2 linked regions of the Drosophila melanogaster genome follow. The protein of the gene in region 1 interacts with the protein of each later gene in a pairwise test. Each region holds a gene or a part of one and is shown on either strand. Other genes may lie near its edges.

Evidence for each region.
Region 2: the proteins of kel (region 1) and Brr2 interact in a two-hybrid assay, tested with the Drosophila melanogaster proteins (one study listed by BioGRID).

The regions. Positions count from the first base shown.
Region 1 is NT_033779.5:18,136,152-18,140,074, forward strand, and holds the start of kel (kelch), read right to left. Parts: upstream 1,933-3,923; 5' UTR 1,781-1,932; coding exon 1,326-1,780; intron 1-1,325. Other genes in the region: Socs36E (suppressor of cytokine signaling at 36E), read right to left, coding at 3,694-3,923. UniProt on the Drosophila melanogaster protein: Component of ring canals that regulates the flow of cytoplasm between cells. May be involved in the regulation of cytoplasm flow from nurse cells to the oocyte during oogenesis. Binds actin.
Region 2 is NT_037436.4:15,966,054-15,969,976, reverse strand, and holds the start of Brr2 (Brr2 U5 snRNP complex subunit), read left to right. Parts: upstream 1-2,104; 5' UTR 2,105-2,224; coding exon 2,225-2,269; intron 2,270-2,365; coding exon 2,366-3,061; intron 3,062-3,118; coding exon 3,119-3,923. Other genes in the region: CG10516 (uncharacterized protein), read right to left, coding at 209-351, 417-978, 1,284-1,607. UniProt on the Drosophila melanogaster protein: Catalyzes the ATP-dependent unwinding of U4/U6 RNA duplices, an essential step in the assembly of a catalytically active spliceosome. Plays a role in pre-mRNA splicing.

The sequences.
Region 1 (3,923 bases):
TGTATGTTTGTAAACAAAAGTGCTTGAATTTTTTCAAGAGGAAAATATTTTGTTTTGTAAAAAGAGACGGGGATGCTATTAACTGTGCAAATTATGGCGCCATTAAATGATGATGACTACTCGAAAAGACTAAGATCTTTTGTCTTCAAAATCGTAAGGTGTTATAATTATAACCCAATAAAAAAAATCTCATAGAATATACACCTCACGAAATATTTGTGTGATTCAATTCCCAATCAAAAAGCAATCCACATTACAACGCTCGGCTTACTTTTTGGGTTATACCACATTCACTTTCGCGCCGAATACGATATGATTGGTCCGAAAAAAAAAACTCGTTTTATGTAAGCTACCAATAAATTTTCCATACGCCCAGTAGTTTTCCAAAAAGTAAGCAAAGGCGGAGACGCGGAAGCGGAATCGAAATGCGATTCGAAAACGAATATCATTTTTGGCCGCAACCAAGTTCAAGGTCGTGGCCCAATGCGAAACCCGAAGGCGTAAGCAACTCATCATAATAAAAACTAGACAATAATTAATGCGAATGGCCCCACGACAAAAGCGGCGGCAAATATTCGTTTATACATATGTAGTGTGCAAACACAAATATTAGCAACGGCCAGATAAACAAAGCGAACTGCGCAAATATGCGAGAGACGATCATCTGACATTTTCAGAGATTTTATTTTCGCATCTTGGCCCAAATCTCAAAGCTCGAGAGCCAGTCGGTCCACCTGTTCCCGTCGAACACGCAGGGATTGAATCATGCGCCTTTGTCCGGGAACAGAGGAGATGAGTTTATAATAGAGTGTAGTTAGCACAGTTCTATTTATATTAAGTTGAGGTAGGTCGTCATATTTAACAACTGAAAGTTTTAGTGGTAGAAACTCAGATCAGCTTGTTTTGTCAAGGAAATAGTAACTGGGAAATAGCTGACACCTTTTTAGAACCTGAACGAACGTTCAGCTGGTTTGCTGTTGAGCAAACAAATGACATTTGAAACATTTTTCGAACCGTTGTAGGTGTGCTTATTTACATAATCAGGCTATAAAATCACATAGATCTAATTCTGCATATCATTAAAAGTCCTATGTGGGTGCTGTGTGTTCTATTCTCCAGGGCAGGTACAAAATAACCAATGTTCTACCTAAGGTTTTTAAAACCTCTCACAGGTAGGAATTAGGATATAATACTATTTGTGGATCTAAATATACTGCCTTAAGGTCTTTAGAAACCCTGGCTACTTCTTTATGATGCTTAAGGACTTAACCAAATTTTATAGTCGTACGAACTGATCCTTCGACAGGATCTCGTGCCATCCTTACTTTCTCATCTCGTTCATGGCGTCGAAGGAGCGCGCCGTATGCTGTTCATTGCTGTACTGCCCCACAGTGCCGCGCTCCTTGCCATTTGGCCGCTGGACGTGCTTCTGGGAGCTCTCGTCCAGGGAGTTCTGGCTGGCGTAGCGCAGAAGGCAGCTGCCCCGCTCCAGGCCACTTCCCTCGGCGGCGGGATTCTGATGGTGGTGGTGCTGCTGCTGTTGCTGCTGCAGCAGGCGGTTGCGCTGCTGCATGGCTGCCACGCCCACTGCGGCACCTAGTCCGGGCGGTGGCGCCACGAACTCCGCTCCCGCTCCGCCTTCATTCTGTGCTGGTTGTTGTGGGTTCTGACCCTGTTGTTGTTGCTGCTGCTGCTGGTTGTTGTTGTTGCTGTTGCCATTGCTTAGGTTGCTCATAATACCGATCGTATATTTGGTTAGCAGCGCACTCAGAGCTATCATCCGAAACGGATCGGAAACGGAAGTCGCAGCGAATCGAAGGTGCCTCGCCTGGTCCGAAAAAACAAACCGAGGTGGTGAAAAATTGTACACTTTTTGGACGCGACCAGAGCAGTGTGACCAGCCTCGGGTTGGTCGCAAGTTACCACTAGCGATGAATACTCATCGATAGTCCGATAGGCATTTTCAACCAGTTCTCACTGAGCTGGCTTTGTTTCCAACTATAAAATTAATGATAAAGTCATTTAATTTTTGAATTTTTGTAATTCACTTGAATTACATCTTAAATATGACCTCTCCCCTTTAATTTTTATTTATACGTACGTTTCAAAAAGTGTGATTTTTAAATTGATATACAAACTAATATTCCACATTTACCTAAACTTAAAAAAAGCATACCTAATTCATCTTATAAAAATATATAAATAAAATTGCAAAAAGATTACAAATATGCGACACAGAATTCATTAAGATTGCATATTCGAATTCCATAAAAGAAAGTAAAAAAGGTTTAGTTCAGCATAATCTTGATAGAATATCTATAGATATTTTATAGATATAAAATAAAATAAATAGAAATCTATAGATTTTAGTTGATTACTCTCATTTTATAAAGAATTCACGACTTTATAATGAAAATAACGAATGAGTTAAACATTCATTTGTTAAAGATATTAAAATACATCAATCATTTGGGTTGATTATGATTCCACACTTCTGATTCAAAACACACTTTGAGATTTTTTCTAATATCTTGATCAACTTTATTTGTTTGACTCTTTTTTCGATTTTGTTTTTGAATATTGATACGCATGCTCATCAACATGTGAGATATGTAAAATACATTAAATAGGTATTGGAAACAACTGCTTATTGAATGTTTACGAATAACAGCAACCACCTAGGTAGGAATACATGATTTATAATTCATTATATTAATATAGCTACAGCTTAATGCGAAAATCGGTAGTATTTACAAATGCTCTACACGTGTACAACTGACGGGTTTTTTCTTTTTAAACAAAGCACTCGCTTGCGAACGAAATCACTTCGAATAAATAAATAAAGTATATTCATAAATAGGCGAAAATTACATTTGGAAATTTGGCTAATGAGAGAGTTTTACACTAACTAAGCTGCATTCGTATCTCGTATTTACACGTAACAGTAACACATCATTTAGATTCCATACTTCAAATAAATACAATGAAATATTACAAGAATACCAGCGATTACGAAAAGCTCGATTGGCCCTTCTTTTTGCAATACTTATGTGTGTAGGAGAGAGGGTTGCTTTAGATAATAATACTTAGTTTATAGTACAATTAGCTAACTGCGATTTCGATTCTACATTCTACCAGCTCGCTTTCAAGAGTGCCACAACTCAAAAATCCGTCCGAGCTGCATTCCAATAGGTGAGATATATATGGTGAACATTTGGTTTTTGATCCATGACAGTCTTGTAGTAGCGAGCTAGCGATTTTGTTATGTGGCTTCGCGTTTGATCTTTTAACTTATGGTGGCGGCACACGCTGCACTGGGATTGTCTCAGTTTGAGTTTTGGTTTCTGGGTTCTGTTTGCCCCTCCGTCCACGTCCTGATCCTCAGGAGGAGTTGGAGTGACGCTCCGGCGTGGCGACAGTCTTCTGGTAGCAATTCAGATTGGCCGACATCCGACCAAAGGCGGCTGCCATGCGGTTGGGCAGCCTGCTGAGGTGCTCCTGAAGATTGGACGATCTGGATGAGGACGGAGCCGATGGGCCCGACGCCGTGGTGACCTGCTGCAGCTGGGCCACCACCTCGGCGTGCTGAACGTAGGAGACCCGTATGTTGACCCCCTCGTCGTCGTCCTCGTCCACCTCGCTGCCGCTCTCCACGTCCTCGTAGTAGGTGAAGCCCACCTGCTGCTCCTCCCGCTATACATTGCCGTAGTACGGCATCGGGGTGTTCTGGTCGATGGGCTTGACGCGCAGCTTCTGCTTGTAGTGATACTCCTTAAGGTAGCTCTTCAGCCGACCGGGCAGCTCCATCTGGTTGATCCCGTCGTAGCTGGTGTTGGACACAATGGTCGCCCGGGAGAGCTGCTGCAGGGAGAAGGTCTGCCTTCTGTGCAGGGGTATCGTCAGGCAGGGCTCGAAGAACATCA
Region 2 (3,923 bases), on another chromosome or scaffold:
TAAATGAATACATCGCTGCTAGCGTATAAAGGAAATGGTTTTAAATATATCAAAATGGGAAAATTATGATGTTTCGTTTAATTAATAAGTTGTATTTTAGGAAGTCTTACAGTAATTAAAATTAGCTTCAGCATTTCTACTTATTACATTTATAACTAAGCTCCTTCAAATAAATGCATACTTAAACATATTGATATGCTTGGTAAGACTAAAGCAGGTAGTGGAAGTACTCGTCGCACATCTCGTGGACACTAGCGGTGTGCTCCTCGTCGCCGCTATCACTGCTTCGCAACGTGATTTTGTGTGCATTGGCGTACAAGTCGTCCTCATCAACAGCCGCATCGTCGGTTTCTATTAATTGAAATTGCAAAAGTGATGTGGCAGAAATGATAGTGGACGTAACTTCGTGACCTCACCTCGGTACTTTTGTTTGCGCCTCAACCGTTGCTTGGAGCTTGAGAGCACTGCTTCGTCGCCCAGATCCAATTCGTTTTCGCGGGAGTTCCGGGAGTAACGAATTGGCGGTGCCAGGAACCAGTAGGATTGCATGATGCCTTTGAGACCCGGCATTTGACGCAGTTCGGCCAATTTGAGCGGCTGCCTGGACAATGCTTGGAAAGATCGCAGCTGCAGTGTGACTGGTTGCGAAGTGCAGTTGATCAGCCTAATTACGGACTTCGCGGCTGTGGAGCAGACCATGGGATATATTTTGACATCCGGATCCGTCGGGACATTGGTGTAGGCCACTCCCAGCGATCTGCGGTTCAAATAGAACTCCAAGTGCCCACGCGTTCGATCCAAACAGACACCAATCAAGCAGCCCTGCGAGAACTTCTGGCCGTAGGGCAGTAACTCGCCACAGTGCTGAATCCTTCCGGAATACGAAAAGCCCCAGGACTGGGCATTGGTGCCCAGGGCCGAGACAAAGTGAAACTTGAACTGCCCTAGATTAACGCTTTCCGTGCCGATGCCGAACATCTAGGAAAAGTTATAAGAAAAGAAAGGCAATTATAAAGAGAACATTATTTACATTGAACTTTAGCTGGCTTATCATCTAGTTGGGGTGTCTGCTGAGATTTCCTCCTCCCGCTGCGTCTGTTATCTTATCGCCGCGTTGTAATCTGTAATCCATAATACAACGAAGCGAACAATCAAGTCGTCTCCAATGGAAACGAGCACACCAGATGCCTGGTTAGTTGTGTTCTATTTTAAGGCGGCGACTTTGAGTGACATTCATCATGCTGAGCATCCCAACTAGTTGCCAAGCCGGCCTGATAACTAACCACATCCGTGCCGGCCAGAGTCGTGATGACGCGCATCTCCCAAAAGTGCACCATGTTTGTTTTTAGGGCCTGTTCCCCTCTCACAATCGCCGTGCCCTGACTGTAGGTGGGATGGAAGATGATGTCCCGGTCGGTGACCACGGCATCCGATTCATCAGTGGCGTGCCACCGCCAGGCATTCACGTTTCCGGACTCATCCTCGCCGCATTGGCACCTGACCAGGTCGGGTATATGGCCCTTGTGGTTGGTAACCTCAATGGAGTTGGGAAACGGGCAATCACAGAAGCCGGGATTGCAGGCTTCTTGGTACGGGGGCAGCAGCATGCTGGCACTTGTTCCTCTTCACTGGTTTACCTTCGATTGCTTTGTAATGAATTGTGTCAGCCGTGTACAATGATCTCGAGCAGTCGACGGACCACAAATGTTTCCAGTTAAACCAGCTGCAGCCTCATATATAAGCACATTACTCTGATCTGACTGAACAATAAACAAAACGATGCGTTGTAAATAGACGTCGGCATCGCTGCCGACGTCGCCGCCAGTGTGACCGAAGCCGCAGTTCGGAACTTAAAATATACTAGATATATCTCAATTATGAGAATTATGGTCAAATTTATAGCAATTTCTTTTGTGGATTGCTAGTGCGTAGGAAATTTTGGTGTTTACAAAAGCTAAAAAACCAGTATTCAAATTTTAAATAGAATGTTGATGGGCTACATTTTTAAAAACTTAGATGCGCGCGCTAACGATAGGTTTCCTACAAATGGCAGCCCTGATATCGATTTTCAGTTGGCTTCGCACATATGGCATCTCTTTAGCCTTTTGACAATCTGGCAGCACGCGTAGCCACAAACAGCGGCTTTTCACTACGATATTTCCGCAAAAAGTTGTAAAATAGGTTAATAAAAGTGCTTAATACTTATAAAAACAACTAAACAGACATGGCGGATGCCGCAGCACGTCAGCTGCAATACGAGTACAAGGCGGTAAGTGTCAAATCCCGCCCGGGAAAACTTCTCCCACTCCATGCGGCGTCTCACCAGAATTTCACAAACACGTTAAATGTATTTTCCATTTTTCAGAACTCCAATCTTGTGCTGCAAGCCGATGTCCGACTCATCGAACGTCCGCGCCGCGATGAGGCCACTGGCGAGGTGTGTTCCCTGGTGGGAAAGCTGGACGGAACAAGGATGGGAGATCGGTACCAGCGAACGAAGCCGGAGAAAACGGAGGAGCGCAAGGTGAAACGTCAGAAGCGCGACGAGGCCCAGTACGATTTCGAGCGGATGAAGGGAGCCACTCTGCTCTCCGAGGGCATTGACGAGATGGTGGGCATTGTGTATCGACCCAAGACCCAGGAAACTCGTCAGACCTACGAGGTCCTGCTCAGTTTCATCCAGGAGGCTCTGGGGGATCAGCCCAGGGATATCCTGTGCGGTGCCGCTGATGAGATTCTGGCTGTCCTCAAGAACGATCGTTTAAAGGATCGGGAGCGAAAGAAGGATATAGACAGCTTGCTGGGCGCAGTTACAGATGAGCGATTCGCTCTGCTGGTTAACCTGGGCAAAAAAATCACAGACTTTGGCAGCGATGCCGTGAATGCTTTGACTGCTGCTCCCAACAACGAGGAGCAGATCGATGAAACCTACGGCATCAATGTTCAGTTTGAGGAATCCGAAGAGGAGAGCGACAACGACATGTATGGCGAGATTCGCGACGATGATGCCCAGGATGAAGGAGAGGAGGCCCGCATTGATCACACACTGCATGCAGAGAATGTGAGTAATGTAGTTAAAATTGCGAATCCCATTTCTTATTCGTGTATCCCTTCCCAGCTAGCCAACGAGGAAGCCGCAAATAATGTAAAGAAAGAGCGCTCCTTGCATCCTCTGGACATAGATGCGTATTGGTTGCAGCGTTGTCTGAGCAAGTTCTACAAGGACGCCATGGTGTCGCAAAGCAAAGCCGCCGATGTGTTGAAGATCCTCAAAGATGCCGCCGACGATCGCGATTGCGAAAATCAATTGGTGCTTCTGCTGGGCTACGATTGCTTTGACTTCATTAAGCAATTGAAGCTTAACCGGCAGATGGTCCTGTACTGCACCATGCTCGCCTCGGCCCAAACGGACAGCGAGCGGCAAAGGATTCGCGAGAAGATGCGCGGAAATTCTGCGTTGGCCAAAATCCTTCGGCAATTGGATACGGGAAAGTCAGAGGATCAGGAGGAGGGCGAAGCACGGGGAAGCAAGCGTGGCAAAGGCGATGCAGAGGATGGTGGAGCGGCGGCTGCCGGGCAGGTGGCCGGTGTGCGACAGCTACTCGAGTTGGAAGAGATGGCATTCACTCAAGGATCTCACTTTATGGCCAACAAGCGCTGTCAGCTTCCCGACGGCTCCTACAGGAAACAACGAAAGGGCTACGAGGAGGTGCACGTGCCTGCACTGAAACCCGTGCCATTTGATGCCAATGAGGAACTTCAGCCTGTGGACAAGCTTCCGAAATATGTGCAGCCTGTGTTCGAGGGTTTCAAGACCCTTAATCGTATCCAAAGTCGTTTGTACAAGGCCGCACTGGACAGTGATGAGAATATGCTGCTGTGCGCCCCTACTGGAGCTGGTAAAACTAATGTGGCACTGCTAA